Cricetulus griseus: one gene and its partners. The protein of the gene in region 1 purifies or fractionates together with the protein of each later gene. This does not show direct contact. Links are inferred from orthologs where the notes say so. Each region holds a gene or a part of one and is shown on either strand. Other genes may lie near its edges. The genes, in order: Hsf1, Fbxw7, Ncl and hsp70-binding protein 1.

Region 1 (7,092 bases):
GTCACCTCCAGCATTGAAGCACCAGCAATTACTGCTTTTGCTGTTGTTTAGACAATGCCTGGGGACATATTGTTGGACAGTCAGAGCAATTAAATTTGTGACCGCAGTGAGATTGTCAGGCTGCTTTTGCTTGCAGTATTTTGGTGGGTTCATTGAGCAAGAGCAGAGTCCAGTCAGTCCCAAGGGGCTCTTTTCAGCTTCCTTTTCCTATCTGGGCAGGCTGGCCTGGAGCTCTGCTCCCATATTGTCAGTGCTCCCTGGGGCTTGAGCTTTCCAACACTGTTTGACCTAAAGGGAGCTAGAGCACTTTCCTTATGGATTGTATCTCCTGTGGGCAAACCCTCGGGGCAAGTGACTGGGCAATAGCTACTGGACTTCTCAGATGAATACTCTCAACATGAATGTTCAGGTTCTCTCCGCCCCTGGGATTAGTCTCCACCTGGGAGCATTGTGGATGAGGTGGGGACCATTCCAAGTAGGAATGAGGTATCATCAACCTACAGTTGGAGAGAATACACATCTTTCCAGTATCCTTAAACTTTGACAGAATTGAGAAGAGGGGTCCCCACAACTTAGCCACACTTTCAAGGGTGCAGCATCTCATATGGGGACTTAGTGACAGGGAGAGACTAGTTCATGCCATGGGTGCTCACTGACCCATTGGGTTTTAGTGGTTTCATTGGTCATTCTTGTTTGTTTGATGCCTGGGAACAATTTCAGAGACATTAAATGATCTAAACAAGCTTTGTGTGTGTCACTGGAGAGGAAGCACTTCCCAGAACTCCACACTCCTGGCCCAGAAGTGGGGCTTTCCTTTCCTCTTCAAGGATAGGAGTCCTCACCCTGCAACTGATCCATGGCCATCCACCATCTATGCCGATGTGTCTGTCTGACTTGGCTGCTTGCAAGGCCCTCTCTTGGATTATGAAGTGACCATATATGAATCCCTTTTAGTTTTCCCTGTTTGAAATTCATTTAGTGTTTTGGATGTTACATCAAATTTGGTATGTTCCTGATCATTTTTCATAAGTATAGTCATTTGTCCATTCTCATCTTCTGAGCCTCCCATTAAGCGTTGTAGGCCTCTAAAACTCTGTTCACTTTTATTCACTCTCTCTAGTCACTGTTGCTATGAAGACACCATGACCATGACAGCTCTTTTTTTTTATTTTATTTTTTAATGTGCACTGGTGTCTGGCCCACATGTTTATCTGTGTGAGGTCCTCTGGAACTGAAGTTACAGACAGTTTTGAGCTGCCGTGTCGTTGCTGGGAATTGAACCCCGGTCCTCTGGAGAACAGCCAGTGCTCTTAACTGCTCAGCCATCTCTCCTGCCCATACCATGGCTCTTATAAGAGAAAACATTTAATTGGGGGCTTACTTACGAGAGGAAACATGGTGGCATTTATGGTACTGGGGTAATTGAAAGCTGCATCCTGACCCACAGGCAGCGAGAGCGACTAGACTGGGCCTGGCATGAACTTTTGAGACTTCCAAGCCCACTCCCAGTGGCACATTTTCCCCAAGGGCCACAACTCCTAACCCTTCTATTCCTTTCAAATAGTGCCACTCCCTAGTGACTAAGCACTCAAATATGTGAGCCTGTGGGGCCCATTCTTTTGGTTTTGGTTTTGTTTCTCAAGACAGGGTTTCTCTGTGTAAAAGCTCTGGCTATCCTGGCACTTACTCTGTAGACCAGACTGGCCTCGAACTCAGAGATTCACGTGCCTCTGCTGGGATCGCAGGCATGCATCACCACTGCCCCAGCGCTCATTCTTACTCAAACTACCACACTGTCTTCAAACTGTAACCTCAGTTGGCCTATTTTTGTGCTTATTGACATGCGTTTCTCCCTGTTCTCATCTTCCTTGAGTCCCCAGGTGAATTGCTTGTTTGTTTGAGACAGGGTTTCTCTATGTAGCCCTGGCTATTTTGGAACTCACTATGTAGAACAGACTGGTCTGGAGCTCACAGAGATCCACCTGCCTCTGCCCCCTGAATGCTGGCATTAAAGGCATGCGCCAGCACTGCCTGGCTGTTGATTCCTATCTTTAACACATAGCCTGGGAGTTAACAACCCAGCTTTATATCCTATTTCCCATTCCTGCCGGAGGGTGAGCTCATGACCCTCCTAGGTCTCCCCTGAACATGCAACAGCTGTAATGTGTGCATAGCCTTTGGATTCCCAGGAATATTTCAGAGTCCCTAGTGATCCCTCATTCACCACCTTTTAAGGTTTCTGGCTAGCCTGTGTTATACATTGTCTCAGCAGCCATTTCAAATCTTCCTCTACATGTTTCTAAAGAGCCTCTGGACTGTGTCAGCTTCAGATCAAGCAAAGCCAGCCTTGCTTGGAGAGACCTCTAGCACCAGGACCTTGAGCTGTCTCTCACCCATGTTCCCACTGCCATTGCTCCCACTGGTTTCAAAGCTGAGGGGAAGAGTGGGACTGGATGTGTGATGTAAAGAGCCCACTGCTTTCCCTGATACCATACTCCCCCCGCCTCCCCAGTGCTTTTCCTGCTGCTTTGCATTCTCTTCCTCCTGTTTCCACCTGCCCTACTATTTCTGTTTAGACCTGTTTCATTCCTCTGCATTTTGGAAAGCAGCCCCAGTGCTAATCCACTGGGCTCCTTTTCATTTTTTCTACCTGCCTGTATTATAGATCCCCCACCCCAGCGAAGAGACCTGTTCCTTAGCTGATTTGTCTTGTGCATCCATGACGCTACTGTCCCTCCCCACTGTGGGGCCTCCCCACTCCGGGATCTAATGCCTCTGAGTTGCCATGGCACTTCTGCCCCTCCTTGTGGTTCTGGACTGTGTTCAGGAGAGCACACGCCCAGAAGTGCAGCCATGTAGCATTCAACAATCTTGAGTTCTAAAAAGAAGCCAGGCAGTGGTGGCGTGCTCCTTTAATCCCAGAATTTGGGAGGCAGAGGCAGATCTCTGTAAGTTCTGGACCAGCCTGGTCTACAAAAGTGAATTCCAGGACAGTCTCGAAACAACCCCCCACCCCCCAAAAAAAAGAGTGGTATTTCTGAGCAGGACTGTCTTCCAGCAGCAGAAATCCCATTCCTGTTTCTTTAGTTGCCACAATTTGGCTTCATAGAGCTGTGTGATATGTCTGTGTGTCTCTGCATATATGTGTGTACCACATGCATTCAAACCTACAGAGAACAAAAATGGATTATCAGGTCACCTGAAACTTGGAATTCCTGGCAGCTGTGAGCTGCCATGTGGGTGGTGGAAAACAAACTCAGGTCCTCTACAAGAACCATAAGAACTTTTAATCACTGAACTATCTCCATTTTATCTATTCTTTTGTTTTTGGAGACAGGATTTCACTGTGTATCCTGGCTGTCCTAGAACTCACTTTATAGACCAGGCTGGCCTGGAACTCACAGAGAGCTGTTTGCCCCTGCTTCCAAGTGCTGGGATTAAAGGCATGTACCACCACACCCAGCTGATCTTTGTTATTTTTAAGGAAAAATTTGCTGATTAAAGCTAAATGATTAAAGCTAAATGTCCCTAGAGACAACCAGAATGCTGTAGGTGATCTATGAGTCTAAAGTTAGCAACTGAAAACTGCCAGGAAGTAGGATCCTGTCTCTGACTCCATGGCCTGGATGGCAGCCATAGAGTGCTAAGATTGAACTCCCTCCTGCTTCTCTCTGGAGAGAGATGGAGAGGCGCTTCAGGCCATGGTGGAAATATGGCAGCAGCTGCTATATATCGAATGCCCATGTGTCTCCTGACAGAGTGGGAACAGCTTCCACGTGTTTGACCAGGGCCAGTTTGCCAAGGAAGTGCTCCCCAAGTACTTCAAGCACAACAACATGGCCAGCTTCGTGCGGCAGCTCAACATGTGTAAGTACCTCTTGTGGAATGGTAGCCTCCTTCCCAAGGGTGTGGAGAAACAGACCCCAACATATTGCTGAGAGAATAAAGCCTGGGTTGGCTAAGGAAGGATCCTTGTGGGTGTAAGCCTGAATTCCCCAAGGAAGAAAGAGTGTATGAGACCCTACCCTAGTAGCTATACTTCCATTTGCAAGAGAGGAAGCTGAGCAATGACAAGGTCTTTTCAAACCATGATTAACTAGCTATGGTAAATGGACACCAGCCAGAATTTCCTACAGTTTTTTAGAAGGCCCCTTGCCTGCCCTAGGCTATGACTAGGCTGTTGGGGGTCTGGTTCCTGGTCCTCAAGCAGAACTGCCCCACCCCCATATGCACAGATGGCTTCCGAAAAGTAGTCCACATTGAGCACGGTGGCCTGGTCAAGCCTGAGCGGGATGACACCGAGTTCCAGCATCCATGTTTCCTGCGTGGCCAGGAACAGCTCCTTGAGAACATCAAGAGGAAAGTGACCAGCGTGAGTCACAAGCCCTGAGTACAGCCCCTCCCTGTCCTCATATCTCCCTGCAGGCTATGGGCTGGGAGTAGTAGCTAGGTGGTGCTGCAAGACTAGCCTGAAAGCATAGCCTGTACTTTTACTCATCTTTCTCTAACCCCTCCTCCTCCCCCTCCCAGTGTTTCCCAGACTCTCCCCACTCCTTAGATTTCCAGGTGAAGCACAAGAGCCAACCACACTCCAGAGCCACTTCAGACTCTTGTATGCCCCAACCCTTAGGTGTCCACCTTGAAGAGTGAGGACATAAAAATACGCCAGGACAGTGTCACCAGGCTGTTGACGGATGTGCAGCTGATGAAGGGGAAACAGGAGTGTATGGATTCCAAGCTCCTGGCCATGAAACAGTAGGTCCCAAGGCTCAGGAGGGTGGCCAGGTTGCTTTGGGTCTTTATTGTGCAGAGCCATTCAGGATTCCCTCCCCCTTCCCAACCTGCCTTCCATTGTTTCTGTGGCAAAAACTGTGGCCTATTCATCTCCATAGAATAGAGTTGGAACTTCCTACTGTACCCACTTCTCACTGCCCTGCTGGGCTCCACATTTTCAGGATTTGAGCATACAGACCCTCCTTGCATGTGCCTCCCTTAAAACCAGGCTGGCAGGAGCTGACCAGAACAGTCCTGGGGCCAGATCTCCCCACTGTTCTCTATTCCCAGTGGCCCCTACTCCTCCTTTATCACTCAGTACAGGGCATCACAGTCCTCAGCTGCCCTTTACCCCCAACCTGAGGGTACTCAGCAGTTTAGTATCTTTCCCAATGCCCTGCTCTGTATGTCTAGCCAGTTTGTGACAAGTCCTGTGGCCCCCCTTTCAGCTAGGATCCTGAAGTGTACCATCAGGCTCTATCCATGGCCTCCTTCCCCGGCTGACACTTGAATCCTCCCCTGGAAGTATAGCAGAACTAGCAGAGCTGGGTGGTGCTAGTGAGCCCTCATCTGGTCTAGCTCTGCCTCACTAGTCAACAACCTGACTCTGGCTCTTCAAATGTGGTCCAATTGACCCAACATTGTGTTGCAGTGAGAACGAGGCCCTGTGGCGGGAGGTGGCCAGCCTGCGGCAGAAGCATGCCCAGCAGCAAAAAGTTGTCAACAAGGTGGGCAGGGCTGGTGGTAGGTGGGTCCCCTCCACGACTGGGCCAGGGTGACTGTATCCTCTCTGCCCCACAGCTCATTCAGTTCCTGATCTCACTGGTGCAGTCGAACCGGATCCTGGGGGTGAAGAGAAAGATGTGAGGCTCTGGGGATGCCTGCACTGTCCACTCTGGCCCTGCGCCTTGGTGTCCTCTGCTTGCTGTATATCCTGGGCACCACCAAGGTCTGTGTAGGCAGTTAACCTGTCTCTTCATTGCAGCCCTCTGATGTTGAGTGACAGCAGCTCAGCGCACTCTGTGCCCAAGTATGGTCGACAGTACTCCCTGGAGCATGTCCATGGTCCTGGCCCATACTCAGTAAGCATCAAGCTCCATGGGACTTCCAGTAAGTGTATCATGGGTGCTGGGTGGCCCAAGCTACCACAGGTATGCCTTGCATGTGGCCTTTGTCTCTAATTGCAGGCTCCATCTCCAGCCTACAGCAGCTCTAGCCTTTACACCTCTGATGCTGTCACCAGCTCTGGACCCATAATCTCTGATATCACTGAGCTGACTCCTACCACCCCTTTGGCATCCCCAGGCAGGAGCATAGATGAGAGGTGGGGCTTCATCACCCTTATACCCCCTATCACCCTAGTGGGCCAGTCTTCATGGGCCCTGGGCAGAGTTGGAAGTGGGTGGAGCTAACTTAGGCTTCTTCTAACATGTTCAGGCCCCTGTCCAGCAGTACCCTGATCCGTGTCAAGGAAGAGCCCCCCAGCCCACCTCGGAGCCCTCGGGTACTGGAGGCAAGCCCTGGCCGTCCATCCTCCATGGATACACCTTTATCTCCAACTGCCTTCATTGACTCCATCCTTCGAGAGAGCGAGCCTAACCCTGCTGCCTCAAACACAGCCCCTGTGGACACAACCGGAGTCCATGCCCCTGCTCCACCCCCTTCTACCCCTGAGAAGTGCCTCAGCGTAGCCTGCCTAGACAAGTGAGTGATGTACCCACCCTGCCTTCCTGTAGCCTCTGAACCCCACAGCACGAGATTTCTTCAGGCTGGACACAGGGTATCTGTGTCTTATAGTAAGGCACAATCTCTACAGTTTGCTGGGAGTGATGGGTTAGATCTGTTCCCCAAAACCTGAGAGTGAGCTTGAAGCTGGGGAGGGAGACCAACCACATCACTAGAAATGGAATATACCCCTGCCTCCTGGGCCACCATCACTACTGGCGTCACCTTCTCTTGTGGCAAGCCCCCATGATCTTTGGATCTGTCATTCTCCCTAGACCTGACACAGGAAATGATGAGCCAGGGCCCAACTTTGACCACCCCTCGGGCACATCCCAGAGGCTAAGTGAGCGAGGAGGGTGGGCACGGATCCCCTCATCCCCCACCTGCAATGGGGGGGGCTCTTGTCTTTGTATCTTGCAGTTTGGCTCGCGCTCCACAGATGTCTGGGGTCGCCCGCCTCTTCCCCTGCCCCTCCTCTTCCTTTCTGCATGGCCGAGTCCAGCCAGGGTTAGCGCTGCCCCCACTTGGGAGGGAGGAGGACTCCACCAGGGCCCCTCCTGCAGCCCTGGACCATTTCCCAACCCGGGCATAGCA
Region 2 (7,092 bases), on another chromosome or scaffold:
TTTACATTCACACAAGCAGTGCACACACAGTCCTATCTTTGTGTGTCCACATCAGCACCTTCTTTGTGAGAAGAAGAAGAGATACTGAGTATAGAACTGCTGTACCAAATACAGACTCACTGCTGCTAAGAGAAAAAACAAGATCTTTATAAAATGTATAATTTTTATTAGTGGTGAAAGAACTTATCCTCTTGAACTCTTGGATACTTTAGGAATTGATGAACCATTGCACATCAAGAGAAGAAAAATAATAAAGCCAGGTTTTATACACAGCCCGTGGAAGAGTGCATACATCAGACAACACAGAATTGATACCAACTGGAGGCGAGGAGAGCTCAAATCTCCCAAGGTAACCGAACTCTTCACATGCTAACAGAAACTGTTAGTCAGTAGAAATGCCTGATCTAGCTCTTCTCTTGTTGGTCTGCAGTATAACTTGATGCCCATCTTCTGTGGAAAGAAAGCTGGCTGTCTTTTAAAATAAGTTCAAATTGTAACTAGCAATGTTCTTGTATTTCTAGTTTCTTTACTCTGATAATTGATAATTTTATTGGAATCAGAGATGAGTTGATCCAGACATGTTGGCTCAGACTTGTACTCAAGAAGTACTCCATACCTGTACTTATGAAGCTGAGGCAGGAGGATAGCTGTGAGTTTAAGGCCAACCTGGGCAACATTACTGAATTCTAGGCCAACCTGCAATATAGTGTGAGACCTTGTCTCAAGAAAGTCTTCCCTAAAATATATGAGTTGGGAGGAAGTGAATTTGTTAGATCATTCTGCATGACATTGTTAATTTTTAGAAATAGTAGTTTTGCTTTTTGTGACTTTCTCTGTTTTTTTTTTATATATAATTTGAAGCAGAAGTCTCATTTTCTGTCTTAGAATATTGTTTCAGATGTATAAATGGTAGAAATCCTCAATTCATATGCTTTTATAACAAAAAATTAGCCAATTTTGGGAGACATTATTTTATATGACAGCATGTACTAGCATACTTTTTAGGTTGAAAAAAAAAAAAAAACAAAACTGTTGTTTGTTATTCCTCAGTTTCTAGGTGTTTTATTTTTCTTTTTTTGTAGTGCTAAAAGTTGAGCCCAGAGCCCTGTCCTCTTCCACCTCTTTTTCTTCTGTTTTAATCTTGAGTTGAGGTTTGTGAGGCTGGCCTGGAGCTCACTTGGTAGCCCAGGATGTGCTGTATATTTTATATAAATTTCTTCTTTCTAAAAACAGATTACAGATTACTGTTCTGACACACAGTTCATTTTTTGCTTTCTCTCTCTCTCTCTCTCTCTCTCTCTCTCTCTCTCTCTCTCTCTCTCTCTCTCTCTCTCTCTCTCTGTGTGTGTGTGTGTCTGTGTGTGTCTGTGTGTGTCTGTGTGTGTCTGTGTGTGTCTGTGTCTCCTTGCATGTACCTATGCGCACACACACAGGCCAGAGGAGGCTGGTAGCTTTCCTGTTCTCATTCTCTGTATGACTTACTTGAGACAGAGTATCTTACAGATCCTAGAGCTAGGCTGGCAGCCATAAGCTCCAACAGTTCTCCTGTGTCCATACTAACAGTGTCGGGGTTACAGGCCTGTGTGTAGCTCTGCCCAGTTTTTATGTGAGTTTTGGGGATTTGGCCCCAGGTCCTGTATGTCTGAGCCATCTCTGTAGCACTTCACTGTATTTTAAAGAATGTGTTGTAATAACATACATGTGATGTGTACATTTTTCTTATAGGTGCTGAAAGGGCATGATGATCATGTGATCACATGCCTACAGTTTTGTGGTAACCGCATAGTTAGTGGTTCTGATGACAACACTTTAAAAGTTTGGTCAGCAGTCACGGGCAAAGTAAGTTCACTTCTTTCCATACTTCTATGAGTCACCATTTTGTGTGTGCAGTCACAGTAAAGTGGGGTGTTGGATCCTCAGCTGTTTTGATAACAAATATTTGATAACAAATAACAAAATGTCTTTAGAAATGTGGTCCTTCTTCCTGTGGTTATGTCACTTTGGCATGGTGGCAGTGGTGTTTTCTTCATTTAAATAGTTTGTTGTCTTTTTCCTTAGATATTCTAAGATTTCTCAGATGCCCCTCTTCTCTGAGCTTCCGTCTCACCTTTCCCATCATGGCTCCCTAACGTCTTCCAAAATATGACTGAGTGATTTGTAATTTTCCTTGTAGACTGCTTTGTTGCTGAGCTATCTATAATTTAGAAATCAAGTAAATCCTGTTAATCTAAAGTTGTCTCAGACTTGAATGGTAAGGAAATGAAGCAGGGGAGGTTTTAAATACTGGGTTGAAGAGCCAAGCAGTAGCTTTATTTCACATAGCATTCCTTAATGAGTCGCTAGTGAATATTGACTTTATCTGTCCAAAGGAGAATTTTTTTTATGAATTAAGTAATCAATCATTTAAAAGGTAAAAGAAGACAGTATGTTTTAAAAAAAAATGTCTTTCGCTGTGTTGTTCCTTGGACAAGACTCTTATAAATACCCAAAGCAGATGTTAAAATTTTCAGAGCAGCTACACGTTTCCAGGATATAATACTAGTTTTGGACTTATCTCAGAGTCTCAGTGTCTGTCTTTACATGTCTAGAGTAGCATGGCCAGCCCCTAACTACTGCCTTAAGGCAGACGGATGCACTGTGGTATGTGGCCACACCCAACTCTCTTGGCATTCTTGCCTTGGTTCTCCTCCATGGGAGGCACCCTTTTGCAGTTTTAATATTATTTAATCATAGTGGTCAGGCTAGAGCTGTTGAACTTGCTTGTATTACATTATGTTTGCTTTCTGCCATGTCTTATGCTTTGTATCAAATGATTCTTCTTAAATTTCTTTACTTCATTTTATTATTTTGTGTTTGTGTGTGTGTACCACATACATGCCAGGTGCCCTCAGAGACCAGAAGAGGGCATCAGATTCCCTGGCATTGGAGTTATAGGTGGTTGTAAGGCACTAGGTGCTGGGACTCAAACCCCAGGTCCCTGAAAGAGCAGCTGGCGCTCTTAGCCACTGAACCATCATCTCTCCAGTCCTGTCTGTTTCATATCATGTTTGCTATGCATGCATAAGCATATACTGCTACAAAATAAACAATTCGGTAATAATGGTGTCATGTAGCATCGATGTGTAGATGCTTTCCTGGTGATCTAATAAAGTTGAATATGTAAGACTTTATTCCAGATTCTAATGAGATGTTAGTATATTTTTTGACTTGCTTTCATTTCTACCTAAAATTAATCATCTGAAGTGTTTTTTCAGTGTCTAAGAACATTAGTGGGACACACAGGTGGAGTATGGTCATCACAGATGAGAGACAATATCATCATTAGTGGATCCACTGACCGGACTCTCAAAGTATGGAATGCTGAGACTGGAGAGTGTATACATACTTTATATGGGCACACTTCCACTGTACGCTGTATGCATCTCCATGAAAAAAGGTAAAGGAAATCCCATTATGATGGGGACTTTCACGTCTGTTACTTGTGAATTTGAGATTCAAATAGTGCTAATGAGCTCCAAAAGTTGATACTAATGATTACAGTGCAATATTCCTTAGTTAGTAAAATCAGGTTATATTGGCTTAAAATTGGAGGATTGTCTTAAAATTTTCTTTTTCATTCAATGACTGTACAATCATTTTTCTTGACGCTCAGCTCTCTAATCCCCTTTGTTGTTCGTTTGGTGACTCATCATCTTCAAAAAAATCATTTTCTTTCTTGACAGTCATATGTAGGAGCAACAAATTCAGTCACTTCGACATTAGCCTGAATCCTTGAGTGACCCACCCACTTTGCCCCCACTCCATCATGTCCCTAGATCTGAACAAACACTGAGGTCCAGGGCTTTCACTTATTTTCTCATTACCTGTCATCTGAACTATGCAGAGATCTCAGGTCCTGACTTTTGCACAGCTGGCAGAGAGCTCTGGTATTAGGATTGTTTCAGCCACGTCTGGCCTGCTAGTCCATTCTTTCCTGGTGCCTCTGCCTGGTGCTTTGTATCTTACCTGCAGTGTCTTCTGCTACAATCATGTCCTTCTGTTGACACATCTTCATTGCACCTAGCTAAAAAATTGTGTTTTCTACTTCATTTGTCAAAAAATATTCTTTTGGCCTGATATGAGAACATGCTGCTAATCTTTGCACTGGAAAGATAGAGACAGGAGAATCCTTGAAGTCACAGCTTTTTAGAGGAGACCCTTCCTCTAAAAGAATGTATCTTAGAAGAATCATTATAACGAGTTCACAGCAGAGCAGCCATGACCTGTAACTCTGTCCATGCTGCTTTATCTATTAAGAACTGTTTTGGTAAGTAGGCTGTACCCTGCAGGTGTGATATATATACAGGGACTCCTTTTTACTTTCAATTTGAACCACTTTGCACAGTGTGTTGTGTGATTAAAATTTAAGGGATGAGTTTCAAGAGACCTTGCATTTCCATGTTGGTTGCATTCATTTTCCCACACTTAATCATTCCACTCTTCCAAATACAGAGACTGACTTTTATCTCTTGGGAATGTGACATAAAGGTACCTGGTTAGCAATCCAGAGGTAACTGCATGGTTGTATCACTCCTCTTTTTAGAACAGTATAATTTTATAACATTGAGCCAATTTCTGTTACTTCTATAGGAATATCTTTAAAAATCTGTATCAGCACATATCTGAAACCGCATTCCCTGCATGGGAAGTATAAGAAAACAGCCCTAGTTTTCTGAGACCCAAATTAAATGTAAAATTTTTTTTTTGAAAAATAATCATATTGAAAAGTTTACTTTCTCAAATAGGTAATAGGAGTTCATAATTGAAATGTAATGGAAGGACAAAGATATTAAAAACAGTTCTGGATTGTTCTAAGTTTAATACCACCTAATTCTGCATTGAGGGTTGAGCTGCGTGTACCATGCTACCATTTCACTTCTAATCAAGATAAATTGTATGTATGGAGAGCTGCTTGCTTCTTGAATAGGGTGAGGTTGTTTCCTTAAGTCATGGACTTCTAGTCTTCCTCACTTCCCATTCCAGGCAGAGTAACTTGAATTTATATCTGAAGGCATTAGGGTAGTGATTCTTGTTAAAGTGTTTCTGTTCTGTTTATGAAGAGAAAGCGAACACTGTTTTGCAGGCTATGTGCATTTGTGCTCTTCAGAATTCTAATACCTTGTTTTCTGTTTCCTCTCTGCAGAGTTGTTAGCGGTTCTCGAGATGCCACTCTTAGGGTTTGGGATATTGAGACTGGCCAGTGTTTACATGTCTTGATGGGTCATGTAGCAGCGGTCCGCTGTGTACAATATGATGGCAGGAGGGTTGTTAGTGGAGCATATGATTTTATGGTGAAGGTGTGGGACCCAGAGACTGAGACCTGTCTACACACGTTGCAGGGACACACTAATAGAGTCTATTCATTACAGGTAAGAAGCTGTCTCACCCATCCACACCCCTAGATGCTCTGGTGATGACTCATAAGATTTTTCTTTTCAGCTAGTTACCGTCAAGTTGCTGTTTATATATACCTTAAAATTACCATGAAGAAAACAATAAATTTCAAAATCATTTAGCTGATTTAATGGCTTCGATTTCTATGATCCATTTTCTCTTTAAAATGCAAATATTTGTCTTAAAACCTGATACTTCAGGGCTGTAAATTTTGCCACATTAATTAATAGATAATCTCATAGGAGAATAACTTGGATCTTAATAAACTCCTTAGCTGAGGATTAATTTGGCCAAAAGCTGCCCCTTTGCCTTGATAACTAAAAGTTGATGGGCCGTGTAATTGTGATTCTATCCCCATTTAAAGTAGCCGTGGAGACTCTCTGCAGAAAGCTACATAGTTGCCCAGGGCCATTGACTGGGGCCATAAAAAGGTGAATCTGACTAACCTGTTATATTTCCTTATATTTGAACATGATGTTTATTAATAGATTATAATATTTCAAAAGCTTCAGTAACTAGACATAAAGCGTGGGTTGAAATTATTTCTGGAAATGCAGCATTTTCCATTTTTAAAAACTTCCTGTTACATAATTCCCTTCCCAGTTACTTGCCTGTTAGTGATCAGCCAAGTAGAACAGAATCCCAGTGCTGACCTTGCTGTTCTTGGGGCATTTGATTCTTAACTGATGGTAATGAAATATTGATATATGATAAAGATGTTGATTACTTTAAAAAAGATGATGGCTTCCAAGGGGAGGAGATTGGCTGCCACTGCTTTTGCTACTTGTGTGCTTAGAACCTTAGAGAAGACCTCAGAATATATAGTCAGGTATTAGATATACCTCCTGGGGATTGGTAGATGTTTATTGGCTTTCAGTGTCCTTGGGAAGCTGAAAAGAGGGGCTACATTGCTTTTATTACTAAAATGCCTCCTATTCTAATTCCTGATAACAGCTCTCTTTTACTAATTTTCTAATTAGCAATAAGTTGTTGTAAATAACTTCATTCTACAAACAGTTTTTAATGGAATTTACTTTTGAGCATCACAAAAGTTATCTGTGGCCCTTCCCATGCCTTGGGTGCTGATAGGCATGGCTTTTTTAAAACTCAAGCTCTGACTTTGGCTTCCTATGGCAAGTCAGACTCATCTTTCTCGATGAATACATGCAATATAGCTTCCAGCTGGGACCAGGTGATCTGAAAGGAATGCTGTCCTTTCAGGTTCTTCCTTTTCTTTTTGAAATTGTTTCTTCCTCTTTTTGAACTATTGGGCAGTTTTGTTCAGTTTCCTTTTTTTTGTTGTTGTTGTTTTGGTTTTCTTTTTAATTTTAAGATAATTTATGAAAATATTTTGGAGACATGATCCGTAGGCTGGCATAATGGCATGTACATCTGCTTACCTTTGAGTTTATCCCAATGCACTCTTTGTTCTGGCCTTACATGTTGCTGTAGCCCCCTCCCCATTGTGAGGAAGGTCTACCAGCTGATAGAAAGGAATCCATGTTTCTGTTCTAATACACTGTGTCTGTTGTAGTTTGATGGCATCCATGTGGTGAGTGGATCTCTAGATACATCAATCCGAGTCTGGGATGTGGAGACAGGGAATTGTATTCACACATTAACAGGACACCAGTCCTTAACAAGTGGAATGGAACTCAA
Region 3 (7,808 bases), about 64 Mb from region 1:
TTAATGTGGGGAAAGGAACCTAGAAATCTCATGATTGTTTTTGCCTTTTGGTCTTGATTTCAGTCCTCTCTCCTTGGGACAAGAAGATGACTCAGTGGATAAAGTGCTTGCTGTAAAAACATGAGGACTCAAGTTCAGATCCCCAATATCCCTGTAAAAAGCATGGGCTGGCAGCACATAACTGTAACCCTCGTGCTAAGTGGTGGTGGGTGGAGGGAGCAGAGACGGGGATCCCTGGCATCTGCTAGCTTGGGGAGGTAGCTGCTAAGTGCTAGCCTGGCATGCACAAAGCCAAGGTCAATCCTCAGAGCCACATAAAACCAAGGGAGGTAGCACACACTCATAATACCAGCATTTGGGAAGCAGATGAAAGAGATCAATAGTTCAAGGACAGCCTGAGATACATGAGACCCCACCTTAAGAAAATCAGATAGTGAGCAACAGCATTCAGGCATCTACCTCACCCCTGTCCTGTCTCCTTACTAGTTCGAGGACTGCACAAATTGACTCTTTGTCCTCATGTTTGTGAGCAGTGATGCTTTTAGCCTATTTTGGATACATTTATGAATTTAAGATTTCCAAAGAGCTGGAATAGAGTCTGGTACCTGGAAAGCTTCACATGTGTATTAGGTATTGTTGACCAGATTGACTACACAGTAACACGGCTCGACACCAAGCTGTCCCTTTTGCTGCTGCTTCACTTAAACTGTGTTCTTTTTTGAGACAGGGTTTCTTTCTGTAGCTTTGGAGCCTATCCTGGCACTCGCTCTGGAGACCAGGCTGGCCTTGAACTCAAAGAGAATCACTTGCCTCTGCCTCCCGAGTGCTGGGACTAAAGGAATAGACCACCACCACCTGGCTAACTACTTGTGTTCTTAAATCACATTTCACATACAACATTCTGCCTCTACGTATGCCTTGCACGTCAGAAGAGGACACCAGATCTCATTATAGATAGTTGTGAGCCATCATGTGGTTGCTGGGAATTGAACTCAGGACCTCTGCAAGAGCAGCCAGTGCTCTTAATTTCTGAGCCATCTCTCCAGCCCCTAGCAAGTACCTTTTAACACTATTATGTGCCAGGCAATACTGTAGGCACCAGGAATACAGCAGACAACAGTTTGTGTTCTCCTGGCTGGCTGGGGAAAGGGCAAATTAACAATAAACAGCCAAGAAAAATACTAGGTAGGTGATACGACCCAAGAGCATAAGTGAGGGTCCAAGAGTGAGTCTCCTAGTGGCACTTTACACCAGAGGTCTGAGGAAGGCCCCATACAGGTAGATCGGATCGAAAAAGAGAAGTCATGCCAGTGTTGCTGAGATCCATCTGTGTCATCTCACAGCTCACCTGTCTCCTCCCAAGTGCCTTTAGCCTCCTCTGCTTGGAAATACCCAGGGTCTTGGCTCACACCAATCATTTTTCCTGTCCCTCTACCCAGGAGTCTCTCTTGGGGTCCATCTCAAGGTGTGACCCTTGTCACTGTCTCTATAAAGACAAAGCCTCCACATCACTGCACTGGTTCCCACCTCATGCCCTGACCATAGAGCATTTTCGTGGAGCTGTGTCCTCCACCGCGTTGCGAAGGACTTAGTAACAAGCATCACGCATTAACTATTTCTACTTGTCTCCAAAGACCCGTGTTCAGATAGAAAACGTGGGACCCAACACATCCTGTTTGCACTAAAATCTTCCGAGATGGGCCAAGGCGTGGTGGCGCACGCATTAATCTCTACACGCGTGAGGCAGGCAGGTCGAGGCTAGCCTGGTCTACACAGTGAGCTCCAGGACAGCAAGAGCAAATAGTTAGGCCCTGTCTCAACATCCCCGACAAAATCTCCACAGGTGATCTATCAACCAATATCATCAGTTGGCGGAACCCTGACTATGCAGAAAATTAGGTTTTAGATGCCCAGGAGGTACCCTAGAAGGGCTCCAGTATGCCACGCCTGGAACCCAAAGTCCCACACACAGGTCTAATCCACTCACGGCAACTCTGTCCTTCAGGCCATTGAGGGAAACCGTGAGTGGCCACAGGCCGGCAAAAAACTCCTCCAGCACACACCAGGAAGTCACCTCTCCGAGACCGTCCCCATCAGGAGTTAAATCTACCGCGCGAGGTTGGACATTAAGCGAGCTGTTTGAGCACTGCACACAGGCGCGCACACACGCACGCAACTGCCTTTATTGGGAGCTGTCTCTCAGGAGAACAGCGGCCCGCGGCGCAACACTAGAGCCCCGGGATGTTCTCGGCTCTGCCGAGGGCAGGCCGAGGGCCGCGAGCTGGCCCCAGTGGGCTCTAGGCCCTCAACTTCCGGCGCTCTCCGGCTCCTCAGCGGGAACGCGCGGCGAGCACTTGAGGCCGCCGCGGAGTCCACGGTGGGGCGCAGCTTCCGCAGCGCGGGGGATGCTCGGGCCACCCACCACCCCCCACCCCCCCGGCCACGCGAGCCCGGAGCTCCAGGTAGCAGTCGAGCACTAGGAGGCGTCCGGGCCACGCCGCCATCCCCGAGCCCCTTCCACAAGCCGCGCCAAACGGGCGCGTTGCACCGCGCAGGCGCGGCGAAGGCGAGCCGCTAGGGCTCGCCGAGAAGACGCGCACACCAGCCAGTCAACGTCCGCCTTGCGTAGAGCTAGGCCCGCCCCCAGGGCGCTGCCGTCAGGCCCCGCCCCCGGCGGACCCGCCCCCACGCCGTAGCCCCGCCCCCACGCCGTCCTGGGTTGAAGGCTCGCGGTTGGCCAGGGGGACGGACGCGCGCTCTGGTTGGTGGAGGAGGGGTCACGAGGACGCCGTCGTCGCCTTTCCAGAGGCGATTACTGGGCAGGCTCAGTCTTTTGCCTCAGACGCTAGCTGTAGCTGGCAGTCGCTCGTACGTGCTCCAGAGTCCACCGTGCCCGTCGCTGCCGCCCAGCTCGCGTGGGTTCCCCGAGGCTCTCCCGAGCTGCGCCCTTCGCCGCACGCGCCGTCGTCGCAACCCGCCACCATGGTGAAACTCGCAAAGGTGAGAGGCCTCGCGCGCGCCGACGCGGACGGACGCCTGGGCCTGCTTTCTGAGGGGCGCGCGCGCGCGCGTCGCTCAGGGGAGGAGGGCCTGCGCGCAATCCCGGGCGCGTTCGAGGGCGCCATGCTGGGGAAAGTCTCGCGCGACTAGCGGGAGGTCTCGCGGTGTTTGGCCCCTGACTTGGTGGTGGGGGAGAGCCGAGGCGGGTCCCGGGAGGTGTGTGTGTGTGTGAGCGCGCGCGCGCGCGTGTGTGTGTGTGTGTGTAGGGCGGTGAGATCGGAGCCGCCGCGAGGGGAGAAGGGGCGACAGGCCCGCCGAGGGGAGATGGGACCCAACTCGTGGGCCGGCGCCGGCGTGGCCCCGCCTCCTGGCGCACGTGCTCCGGTGCGCGGCCCGCCACGTGGGTTTTGGCGCTCTGCGTGTGTTGCCCGTCTCGGGCTCGGGGAGTCGCGGGGTACCGGGGAGGGGGACAGCGGGACTGAGCTAGGTGGGTTCCCCGGCGATCCCCAGCGCCTGTCCGTGACGGGCAGGCCAGCACGTGGTGGACACCTGAGGGAGCGCGTGGTGGCCTGCGTGGTACCTCCACGTGGCCCGCCTCCAGAGTGGCGACGTCGGAAGTGGTTCTGTGAAAGACGTGCTCCTCTCCAGAAGGGGCTACCCAAATAGATACCCCTGCCCCGGCAGATGATTTAGAGTGAAATTCAAAGGGCAATGAATGACTAGTAGATTGTCTTCAGTTGTCTCTGGAAGGGAAAGACAAGTTATATAGGTGATTCTCAGGAAAGATTGCCACATATAATAATGCCAATGATGTCACCTGTGCTTAGGGCCTTTAACAATATAGACAGTGGGCATTAAGAAAGAAGATAATGGCGAAACGCAAAATGGCTTACAAATAGGGTATCGACATGATTTTGTGTGCACTTGTGTAGGCCGGCAAAACCCACGGCGATTCTAAGAAAATGGCTCCTCCTCCAAAAGAGGTGGAAGAAGATAGTGAAGACGAAGAAATGTCCGAAGATGAAGAAGATGACAGCAGTGGAGAAGAGGTATACAGCTAATAGGGCAGCGGTGCCCTCCCTTTAATTCCAGCAAGAGGGACGTAGAAGGCAGGCAGTTTTAGTGAGTTCAAAGCCAGCCTGGTCTACAGAGGGAGTTCGGGGACAGCCAAGGCTACACAAGAAACCCTGTCTCAAAAACCAAAAAGAAAAAAAAAGATGTAGAAATAGAATGTGTGTTAATAAAAGTATTCTAAAGCCGGGCGGTTGTGGTGCACGCCTTTGATTCCAGCATTCAGGAGGCAGAGGCAGGCGGATCTTTGTGAGTTCAAAGCCGCACATGGTCTACTTAATGAGTTCCAGGACAGCCTCCAAAGCTACAGAGAAACCCTGTCTCCAAAAACCAAAAAAAAAAATACAGTAGTATGATAACAATAGTTGAGTGACAAGTTCTTTATTGCTATTGAGTAGTTAAATAAGAGTATTACAGTCCACTTGAGAGGGATGTAAATTTCACTCAGGTTTCACATGCTGTATTGAATATTGATTGTAGGCTGTTATTTTTCCCTACATTTTTGGAAAACAGGGTTTAATCCAGTTTGATTTGTTTTCATTCAGATCATGGTCACGTGATTTCATGGTGTTTGGTGAGAAGGACATTACGACTAGAAATTCCCGGGTGTTTTTTTTTGTTTGTTTGTTTGTTTTTTGAATCAGGATCTCAACATGACCCTTGTGGTCTTAGAACTCAACATGTAGACCAGTCTGGCCAAAAATTCTCCTGAATAAAGGCATTAGTCATTGCATGAAGCTAGTTAAGAAACTTAGGGCTTTGATTTAGATGAGAATTGGAGTCAGGGTCTCAATAGTTCAGGAATCACTATATTTATTTTACTCCTATTCCCGTCATGCATGTTTTGTTTTTTAGTGCTGATCCCTATCACTAAAGTAAGCTTTAGCCTATTATATAAGCTTTTATAGAGCAAGTCAGTTTTTAAAATACATCAGATATGGATTGAAGGCTGCTACTTACCAGTTTGCTGAATCTGGTACTTATTAGCACTCCTACTTGTTGGTTCATTTAAAGACATGGTTAATTAATTTCAGGAGGCAGAAGTAGGGATAGTCTTGGAAATCAGGTAAGCTGGGGGTATGTAATCATTATGCTCAGATTTCTTGTTTAGAAGAGCTATATTAGTAATAAGCAAAATTTGGGTTTTGGTGGAACATTTTTCAATGAAAATAAAATGCATACTTGTTATAACTCTGCTTAAGGCTGATGTGTAGGGGTGGAGTTGGAGACCAGTTTCATTTATGAGTGTTTCTTAAACTTGGGTATTTGTGTGATAAGCACCTGCAGTTGTAAGCCATGTATTCTGATTCCAGGGTTTAGGATTTAGTGTGTTGGAGTTAGGGTTAGAGTGTTTATCTGTATTTGTATGAGTGTACTACTAAGCATGCCTGGTGCACTTAGGCTAGAAGAAAACTCTTAGGTTCCCTGGAACTATAGTTAGAGCCATCATGTGGATGCTGAGAACTGACCGTTGGTCCTCTGCTAGAGTAACAAGGGCTCTTAACTGCTGAACCGTCTCTCTAGCCCTTTCACCCCAGGGTTTAACATATACCTAATTCCAGTGTTGAGCTCAAAGTTAGTATCAGTATGTTAATAACATTGGATATACGGAAAGTGCTTATTATTTGTTTTACTTTTAAGGTTGTCATCCCTCAGAAAAAAGGAAAGAAGGCTACAGCAACTCCAGCAAAGAAGGTGGTTGTTTCACAAACAAAAAAAGTTGCAGTTCCCACACCAGCTAAGAAAGCTGCTGTTACTCCAGGTAAAAAGGCAGCAGCCACACCAGCCAAGAAGGCAGTTACACCAGCCAAAGCAGTTGCAACACCTGGAAAGAAGGGAGCCACACAAGCAAAAGCATTGGTAGCAACCCCTGGTAAAAAGGGAGCTGTCACTCCAGCCAAGGGGGCTAAGAATGGTAAGAATGCTAAGAAGGAAGACAGTGATGAAGATGACGATGACGACGATGATGAAGACGACAGTGATGAGGATGAAGAGGATGAGGAAGAGGATGAATTTGAGCCACCAGTAGTGAAAGGAAAACAAGCAAAGGTAGCTGCTGCTGCTCCTGCCTCAGAGGATGAAGACGAGGAAGAGGATGAAGAGGAGGAGGAGGAGGATGAAGAGGAGGAGGATGGTAGGTGGATTTCTGTTTGCAGGATGATTAGGAGATCTTGCCAACAATAATGCATGTAGTTTTCCTGACCACTTCGTGCTTAGATTAGAAAGTCACATTTTGTGCTCATAGTTCTTTCCATAACTTAGCATGCTGTCAGAATTTTATTTCTCTAAGACTTTTTTAGTGTGTATAAGATTCATGTTATCTGGATTGGCAGCAAATGCCCTTGCTTACTAAGCCAGCTCTCTTTCAGACTCTGAAGAAGAAGAAGCTATGGAGATCACACCTGCCAAAGGAAAGAAAGCTCCTGCAAAAGTTGTTCCTGTGAAAGCCAAGAATGTGGCTGAGGAGGATGATGATGATGAAGAGGAGGATGAAGATGAGGAGGAGGATGAAGAAGAGGAAGAAGATGAGGAGGAGGAGGAAGAGGAAGAAGAGGAAGGTAAGCAGATTACATTGAGGTACACTGACCTCAGTAATGTTTAATGGAAGTGCTTACCTACTCATGACACTAAAAATCTTATCCAGAGCCTGTTAAACCAGCACCTGGAAAACGGAAGAAGGAAATGACCAAACAGAAAGAAGTTCCTGAAGCAAAGAAACAGAAAGTGGAAGGTAAGCCTGTAAGATTGGGGACTGTGAGAGGAGATAAAGGTAGCAATAGCACAAGTGATGAATGACAAAGGGACTTAATACTGAAACCTGGTGTTGAGATTCAGTGTGCTGATGTGCTTTATAGAAGTTTTATGCTGATGTTTATGTATGGTGAGGTTTTAAATGAACTAAAGTTAATTTTCTGTGCAGGTTCAGAATCAACTACACCTTTCAATCTGTTCATTGGAAACCTTAACCCAAACAAGTCTGTTGCTGAATTAAAAGTTGCCATCAGTGAACTTTTTGCTAAAAATGATCTTGCTGTTGTGGATGTCAGAACTGGTACAAATAGGTAAGTTTTTCATTGAACATTAAATTGAGTTAGCTGGTGCTTCTAAATTCTCCATGCTCTTAAACACAGAGGTATATAATTACTTTAATGAAGACTAGACATTAAAGAACTAAGTCATCAAGTCATGGAACTTGCAAATTTGAAATTTCAATATTTGACTTTTGTGTTATGTCAAATAACAGCAATAATTGGCATTTTTGGATAGGTGGTGGCAGGGCACGATTCAGTCCCAGCACTTAGGCAGAGGCAGGTGAATCTGCATTGGAGGCAAGACTTGGATCTGAATAGTTATAGTGAATGCTTTTGGCCAAAAGGACTCTTAGTATTTAGCTAGGTTCCTCTTTCAGCTAGTACTATCAGTTAACAGTGTAAATTAAATCTGTGTAGATTTGCTATCCTGTCTAGGTACATAGGCTTGATTCTATGGGAGATGAATATGGCCTAGATCGCTCTCATGCCTATAATCTTGTCCTTTTCATCTACAAGGAAATTTGGTTATGTGGACTTTGAGTCAGCTGAAGACCTAGAAAAGGCCTTGGAGCTCACCGGTTTGAAAGTGTTTGGCAATGAAATTAAACTAGAAAAACCAAAAGGAAGAGATAGTAAAAAAGGTACGTAAAGAGACTGGGTGACTTAGAAGGTAGGCTTTGCCCCTTCTCCCTTAGTAAACCAGTG
Region 4 (7,340 bases), on another chromosome or scaffold:
AGCGGGAGACGGTAGACCCGTGTTGGCAGAGGCCAGAGGAGGGAACTGGGAGCGGGCACCAGCGTGATGTCCGTGTTCTGGGGTGAGGTGGTGGTGATGGCTGCTTAGTGCCATATGGAAACCCCCGAGTTCCATGCGGGGTGAACTTTATGGCTGTGGTGGTGAACTCTGTATGATGGCCGTGGCGGTGTGGCTCTGACGGTGCCTCGCGATGGTAGTGATGGCGGTGGCGATGGTACTGAAGGCTGAAGTGATGGTGGGGTGGTTGTGGTGGTGGTGCGGGTGGCAGCTTCACGGTGGTTATGTTAGGAATGTGATGGCAACGGTGATAGGGTGTTGTTGATGGTGGCTGTGGTGCTGATGGCGGCTGTGGTGCTGATGGTGGTGAGGAATGGTGGTGCTGATGGTGGCAATGGCAATGATAATAGTTGTTAACAAGTCTTTGTCCTGCCAGCCAGCTCCCAAATAAAGGCGCAGAGACTTAGTATTAGTTATGGAAGCTCAGCCTTAGCTTTGGCTTCTCCCAGTAGCTCTTGTAGCTTAAATTAACCCGTTTACATTAACCTGTGTTTTGCCTTGTGGCCTCTTACCTTACCTCCGTCCTGCCCGGCCTGCTTCGTCCATGTGTCTTGCTTCTCCTGCATGCCTAGATTGCTTTCTCTTCCTTTCTGTCCTCAGAAATCCCACCCATGCCTCCTGCCTAGCGATTGGTCATTTAGCTCTGTTAAGCCAATCAGGAGCCTTGGCAAAGACACACCTTCACAGTGTACAAAAAGATGATTCCACAACACACAGACACGGGTGGGTGCTGTTGGAAGCTGTGATGGTCATGATGCCAGTGGTGTTGGTGGCTGTGGTGATAGTGATGGTGGCAGCCATGGTGACTGGGACCTCAGAGCTCTGCCCCTCCCTCAGGTCTCGTCCGAGAGCAAGAGGCTGGGCTGCTGCAGTTCCTCCGCCTGGATGGCTTCTCTGTGCTCATGCGGGCTATGCAGCAGCACGTGCAGAAACTCAAGGTCAAGTCGGCATTCCTGCTGCAGAACCTGCTGGTGGGCCACCCGGAGCACAAAGGTGAGGTGGCCCGAGAGGGACTTGTGGGGGGTGTGTTACGGGAGCCTTCCTCCTGACTCCCACAGCTCTCCCCCCAGGAACCCTTTGCTCTATGGGGATGGTCCAGCAGCTGGTGGCCCTTGTGAGGACAGACCACAGCCCTTTCCACGAGCATGTGCTTGGAGCCCTGTGCAGGTACACTGGGGCCCCAGGAGGAGGGGGCCTTGGATGGCGTCCTCAACAGCAAGAGCCGCACAGGCACTAGCCCGCTCTTGCCCTGGAGCACTAGATGAAGAGTGCAGGCCAGCGAATAGCAGAGATCACAATGCTTGGGGGCGGGAACCCCTTCTTATGGTTCCCACAGGGTAAACAAATTGGGGTTCTGGGCTTTGTCAACCAGCAGGCCTTGGACCACATGTGCCCAGGGTCTCTATGAATGCTTCCTAAAATAACTCAACCATACCATTCTCCAGCATGAGCTTTATAGATGACAACGCTATGTCACAGCGCCCAAAGGTTAGCCACACCCGCAGCATGATGGAGCCAGACAGACATCATGGCAGGCCCCGTCTAAACTTTATATTCCCCGCAGCAATGTACAGCAGCTGCAGTTTTACAGATGGGAGCCAAGACCCACTGTAGGGCCGTGGTGTACCTTGGCTCCTGCAGGATCAGTGTGGAGGGGGGCTTGGAGCTGGGCTGGGGTCTTCGTTGCTGATGGGGTCCTAAGGTCTGCTCTCATGTCCTCCTGTAGCCTAGTGACGGACTTTCCCCAGGGTGTGCGAGAATGCCGGGAGCCTGAGCTGGGCCTGGAGGAGCTGCTCCGTCACCGCTGCCAGCTGCTGCAGCAGCACGAGGAGTACCAGGTAGAAGGGCGGGGGTGGGGTCCGTGCCTGCCCTGGGGCCAGTGGGCTCCGTCTGTCCCTGCCTTCTCTCTCCGTTGTGTCTTCTCCCATTAGCAAACACTGTGGGCCGCATGCTACCTCAGTCAGGAATGAGAACTATTTTATAAACTGGTTAAAAATGATAAACTGATTAGCTATTATGTACCACAAAAATGATAAACACCCTTAAATATCAAGTTTGTTTTTTTTTTTTTTTGGTTTTTTGAGACAGGGTTTCTCTGTGTAGCTTTGGAGCCTATCCTGGCACTCGCTCTGGTCACCAGGCTGGCCTCGAACTCACAGAGATCCGCCTGCCTCTGCCTCCCGAGTGCTGGGATTAAAGTTGTGCGCCACCAACACCCAGCTAAATAGGTGAATAAATTAAGTAGATAAGAATGGATAACTCAGCGTTGTTAGCGCACGCCTTTAATCCCAGCACTCGGGAGGCAGAGGCAGGCGGATCTCTGTGAGTTCAATGGCAGCCTGGTCTACAAAGAAAAAGCTCCAGGACAGCCAGGGCTACATAGAGAAACCCTGTCTCCAAAAAATGAAAAAAAAAAAGAAATTTTTTTAACTTACATGTCTGTGTTTGTATGTTTGTGGGGTACCTTTGAAAGCCAGTGGAAGGCATTGGAAGCCCTGGAGCTGGAATTACAGATGGTTGTGAGCTGCCTGGTGTGAGTGCTGGGAACTTGAGTTGAGGACCCGAGCAAGAGCAACACGTGCCCTTAAGCCCTGAGCCATCCCCCAGCCTATGAGTGTGTTCATGTGGAGGACACAGGACAACTTTCTGACATGTGGGCCCCAGGGATCAAAGTCAGGGTGTCGGCACTTTTACCCCCTCGGGGCCACCCCGCCAGCCTTGATTCTTCATTTTGTGAATTCCCTGTGGCTCCGGTGCTGCCACTTTTAACAAAGCTAGGCCCGGCAAAAGTGCAGCAGTGGTGTCCATCCTGCTGCACCCCTGCCTCTCTGGACACCCCGATGTTGACAGAGGGATATTGTAAGTAGGAGAGGCAGGAGCCGCATGGAGCACGGGGAGCTGCAGCCCAGGCTGGCCTGGTGTCAGGTGGAGCACGTGGAGGGGAGGAGGCCCCTGCATGTTGCACTTGCATTTATCTCCCAGGGGACCCTGAGCTGAAGAATCCCAGGGCCCCTCAGAGGTGCCCACCACCCACCGGCGCACAGACCAACAGGCAGATCTCCGTGGGTGGAGGCCAGCCTGGCGTTCAGAGATCCTTCCAGGCCCGGTGCTGGGGTGAAAGGCGTCCACCCTTGTGCCCAGCAGGGAAGGTTTATTTTGACTCCTGGTGTTAGGTTTTCTCTTCTATTATTGCTCTATTGTGTGGAGTGTGGGTAGCTTCATGGCCTCATTGATTCAACGGCCTCTTTTTATTTAGTTTTTAGGTAGGTTCTCACAGTGTTAGCTCAAAGTAGTCTCAAACTTGAAACCCTGAGGTAGCTGCCTCTTAAAGGAGGTGTGGCTTGTCCTCAGTTTTTCACTACTACAAACACTGCTATAAGAACAGGTTTTAAGGCAGGGAACATGGCTCATTTGGCAAAGTGCTTGCCACAAGGAGCTGAGCTCAAATCCCAGGTACACACGTGGAGGGAATCCCAGCACTCAGGAGCCAAAGAGAGAAGATTCCCTGGGGCTTGTGTGTAGCCAGTTAGGTAGAATCAGTGAACTCCAGGTTCAGTGAGAAACTGTCTCAAAAAATATGGATGGTGGTGCACACCTTGAACCCTCGCACTGGGGAGGAAGGCAGAAGCAGGCTGATCTCTGTGAGTCTGAGGCCAACTGGATGTACTTAGTGAGTTCCAGGCCAGCCCAGGGCTACATTGTGAGACCGTCCTTCAACAGGAAATGAGAAACAGATGGAGAGTGGGTGAGGGCGATCCTGGTTCACCTCTGAATGTCCACACCCACGTGCACGCTCACACATGCATTCATACCTGCACACACGTGCACACACGCAAACAAGGTGGGTGGCTTCTGGGGACTTCCGGTTTTCACACATGCGTGCACGTGAATGTACACATACTGACATAACATATCCCCATAAAAATACAGCTTAAAATGTTTACATTTGATGGGTGATGGAGGCGCACGCCTTTAATCCCAGCACTCGGGAGGGAGAGACAAGTGGCTCTCTGTGAGTTTGAGGCCAGCCTGGTCTACAGGGTGAATTCCAGGACAGGCTCCAGAGCTACGTAAAAACCCTGTCTCGAGAACCAAAACCCAAACCAAAAATGTTTACATTCATCTATATCATCATCGTCATCATCATCTTTTGGTTTTCTGAGACAGGGTTAGGCTATTCCGGAACTCACTTTTGTAGACCAGGCTGGTCTCGAACTCACAGAGATCCACCTGCCTCTGCCTCCCAAGTGCTGGGATAATTAAAGGCGTGCACCACCACTGCCCAGCAACAATCTATTTTTATTTTATTTTGTGTACATTGGTGTTTTAACTACTATATGTATATTTGTTTGAGAATGCCAGATCCCCTGGAACTGTAATTACAGACAGTTGTGAGCTGCCGTGTGGGTGCTGGGAACTGAACTCAGGATCCCTGGAAGAGCAGCTAGTGCTCTTAACCTCTGAGTCCCTCATCTATTTATTATGTGTGTGTGTGTGGGGGGGGCATGCGTGTGCTGTGGTGCACAGGTAGAGGTCACAGGACAATTTGTGGGAGCCGGTTCTTAATTTCCACAACATGGGTTGTGGGGATTAAACTCAGATCCTCAGGCTTAGTGCTCAGCACCTTTACCTGGGGTGGATATATGAGAGTCACGGGGCTGATTCCAGGACAGACCAGTTTGGGAGGCCTCAGGCTGTCTCTGGGAAGAAAGCTCAGGGACCTATGAGCAGGGGGGGGCAAGTGAGCCTGATCTGAGCAGTGGTCACTCGGAAAGCCCAGTGGCTACTGGAGTGGGCTGGTGGTAGCCAGTAGAGAGGGTTGTTGTGGCCGCTGAATGAATGTCCCAGAGGCAGGTCTGCCTCTGTGCTCAGGATCTCTCTCTTCTCCTTGTCCAGGAGGAGCTGGAGTTCTGTGAAAAGCTGTTACAGACATGTTTCTCCAGCCCTACCGACGACAGCATGGATCGGTGAGACCAGGTGGCTTCTTGCATTCTCTCCGTGGGAACCCCAGGCCTCCTGCCTCCCTCCTTCCCAGGCATCCTCTCCCAAGGGATTGCCAGGCCTTGTTCAGGCCTGGGCCTGGGCCTGCCAGCCCATCTCTGGGCAGCCCCCTGGAGGGGGTGCCGAGAAAGGTGCTGGCCCTTTGGATTCCCCTGCCTTGCTTTCTGTCACCCTTTCTGGTCATGTCCACACTGCTCTTCCAATAAAAGCATTTCTCCTGTTGCCCTTCCCATGTGTTGTCTTGCTTTTCCTGGAAGGTTCTTATGGAAGGTGGGAGGGAGGGGCAGAGCCTAGAGGACTGGGGGTGGGGGTGGGGTGGTCACTAAAGGGATTATACAAGCGTTGCTCGGAACTGTTGTCTCCTTTTATCTTGCTGCCTTTGTTGTGTTGGGACCATCCCATTCTTTTTTCAGTATAGAATCAAACAAACAAAACACGTTTGCTTATTTGATAAGGGTGGAGGTCAGCGAGCACGTGGGGAGTGGATTCTCCAGTCCCACCACGTGGGTTTGGCAATCAGCTCTAAATTGTCAGGTCCTGAGGCTTGCACAATAAGCACCTTTACCCATGGAACCAGCTCACCCTCCATCCGAAAAGGAAGTTTTATGTGAAAGTTAGTCTTCACCGTCCAGTTGGCTGGATTTAGAATCTCCATGGAAACACATGCAGCGTGCCTATGAGGCTGTTTCCAGAAAGGTTTACTTGGGAGGAGACCCAGTCTGAATATGGGTAACACTGCCTTACGGAGGGTCCCAGACTGACAAGGAGACTCGGGGAGCACGACTAGTGTTAACAATTCCCTTCCGTGAAGCTGACTGACGGTCTCTTACAGAACGACGAGGATCAAGCGAACGCCACCAGCAACAAATAAATTAGATCACACAGAGCAGAAGACAGGAAAAAAAAAAAAATTAGTGACTGGTGTTAATCCGCGAAAGAGGTCCATTTAAAGCCATCTGAGAATTAAAGAGGCGGGAAAGGAAAAAACAAAAAAACAACTAGACGAGAGAAGGCACACAAACGTGACTCCATAGAACTTCCCGGAAATACAAGCTGCCACCAATCTGCCGCTCCTCTCCAGGAAGGAAAAGCTAAGCTTTCTTCCATAGTCCTTACAGCCGACCTCTAAAGCGGGGGTGGGGAGGGTGGGGGCGCTGCAGTTGGGGTAAACTGAGGCTCAGAGCTGGGATCCCCGCGCTGGGGGGGGGGGCTCCTCCTCCCGGCTGTTACAGAGAGAGAGAACTGTGCTCGGGTGGAGGCGCGGGGCGGGAGAGCCCGACACGCAGCTCCGGGCGAGCGGGCTGCGCACACGCGCTCGTTGCAAACCGAGCTCTGCCTGCAGCAGCAGCAGCAGCAGCAGCAGCGCCCGAGTTCCGGAGCGGGCGGAGCCTGGGCGCCGGGCCGCCGCGCCGAGTTCCGGGGTGGGCGGGGCCTGGGCGCGGGGGGAGGGCCCAGCGCGCACGCGCCTCGCCGGGCCCGCCCCCCCGCGGCGCCGGCCTGTGTGCGGCGCACCTGCGCACGGAGCGCCGCCGCGAGGGGGCGGAGCCTGCCTGGCTGGGTCCTCCCGCGCTCGGGGCATTGTGGGACAGCGGCGGAGCTAGCTGTGCGTTGGAGGCCCGGAGCTGGACGGGCCGGGCCGGGCCGGGCCGGGGAGCCGCAGGCGCTTCGGGGGACGCTGAGGTGGACGAGACGGCCGTCGGCTCCCGGGGTCGCGCCGCGGAGCCTGGGATTTGTCCTTTTCGTCCCTGCTCCCGGTGCCGGCGCGCCCCGCGCCCCTGTGTAACCGCGGCGCCTTCCCCCGCCGTCGCCCCTGCGCCCGCGGCGCCCGCGCCAGGCCTCGTCGGCGCCTCGGCCCCGGAGCCCGGCGGTGGAACGAACGAGCGCGCCTCCCCCCCCGGTGGCCGCGGAGCCCCGAGCTCGTCGACGATCGGGCGGTGAGGCAGGGGGATTCCCTGTGACCGCAGGGCGCCTGCGCGGGGCCGCGAGCTCCGGCCCGGGCGCCTGTGCGAGCCTCCCCGGATCCTCGGACCCCCGGATCCTCGGACTCCCCCCCCCCACCCCGACCCCACTGCCGGCCCCCTCGGCAGGGCCGGAGCCGCCGGCGGCGGGGCGGCGGGGGCGCCCCGATGAGCCCCGAGTGCGAGGAGCCGCCGCCCCCCCGCGCAGGTGAGCCCCGCAGCCGCCTTCCCCCCCCCAGTGTCCCCGTCCCCCCAGTCCCCGTCCCCACGCTCCCACCCCCCCAGCGGCCCCGGCTCTCGGTG

The links.
Region 2: the proteins of Hsf1 (region 1) and Fbxw7 purify together in Homo sapiens (affinity purification with western blotting; 4 studies listed by BioGRID, with this or other methods). This does not show direct contact. The link is inferred for Cricetulus griseus from reciprocal best matches to the Homo sapiens genes HSF1 and FBXW7.
Region 3: the proteins of Hsf1 (region 1) and Ncl purify together in Homo sapiens (affinity purification with mass spectrometry; 3 studies listed by BioGRID, with this or other methods). This does not show direct contact. The link is inferred for Cricetulus griseus from reciprocal best matches to the Homo sapiens genes HSF1 and NCL.
Region 4: the proteins of Hsf1 (region 1) and hsp70-binding protein 1 purify together in Homo sapiens (affinity purification with mass spectrometry; 5 studies listed by BioGRID and IntAct, counting the BioPlex papers as one, with this or other methods). This does not show direct contact. The link is inferred for Cricetulus griseus from reciprocal best matches to the Homo sapiens genes HSF1 and HSPBP1.

Annotation. Positions count from the first base shown.
Region 1 is NC_048595.1:373,785,459-373,792,550, forward strand, and holds part of Hsf1 (heat shock factor protein 1), read left to right. Parts: intron 1-3,758; coding exon 3,759-3,867; intron 3,868-4,235; coding exon 4,236-4,372; intron 4,373-4,630; coding exon 4,631-4,755; intron 4,756-5,425; coding exon 5,426-5,501; intron 5,502-5,574; coding exon 5,575-5,636; intron 5,637-5,758; coding exon 5,759-5,855; intron 5,856-5,960; coding exon 5,961-6,097; intron 6,098-6,210; coding exon 6,211-6,477; intron 6,478-6,918; coding exon 6,919-7,005; intron 7,006-7,092. UniProt on the Homo sapiens protein: Functions as a stress-inducible and DNA-binding transcription factor that plays a central role in the transcriptional activation of the heat shock response (HSR), leading to the expression of a large class of molecular chaperones, heat shock proteins (HSPs), that protect cells from cellular insult damage.
Region 2 is NW_023276806.1:69,438,217-69,445,308, reverse strand, and holds part of Fbxw7 (F-box/WD repeat-containing protein 7), read left to right. Parts: intron 1-212; coding exon 213-349; intron 350-1,725; coding exon 1,726-1,839; intron 1,840-3,254; coding exon 3,255-3,436; intron 3,437-5,182; coding exon 5,183-5,408; intron 5,409-6,967; coding exon 6,968-7,092. UniProt on the Homo sapiens protein: Substrate recognition component of a SCF (SKP1-CUL1-F-box protein) E3 ubiquitin-protein ligase complex which mediates the ubiquitination and subsequent proteasomal degradation of target proteins.
Region 3 is NC_048595.1:438,025,222-438,033,029, reverse strand, and holds the start of Ncl (nucleolin), read left to right. Parts: upstream 1-2,820; 5' UTR 2,821-2,982; coding exon 2,983-3,000; intron 3,001-3,932; coding exon 3,933-4,049; intron 4,050-5,712; coding exon 5,713-6,205; intron 6,206-6,440; coding exon 6,441-6,629; intron 6,630-6,715; coding exon 6,716-6,802; intron 6,803-6,849; exon of another isoform or gene 6,850-6,919; intron 6,920-6,991; coding exon 6,992-7,133; intron 7,134-7,619; coding exon 7,620-7,744; intron 7,745-7,808. UniProt on the Homo sapiens protein: Nucleolin is the major nucleolar protein of growing eukaryotic cells. It is found associated with intranucleolar chromatin and pre-ribosomal particles. It induces chromatin decondensation by binding to histone H1.
Region 4 is NC_048602.1:23,310,663-23,318,002, reverse strand, and holds the end of hsp70-binding protein 1, read left to right. Parts: intron 1-915; coding exon 916-1,071; intron 1,072-1,148; coding exon 1,149-1,245; intron 1,246-1,804; coding exon 1,805-1,916; intron 1,917-4,974; coding exon 4,975-5,049; downstream 5,050-7,340. UniProt on the Homo sapiens protein: Inhibits HSPA1A chaperone activity by changing the conformation of the ATP-binding domain of HSPA1A and interfering with ATP binding. Interferes with ubiquitination mediated by STUB1 and inhibits chaperone-assisted degradation of immature CFTR.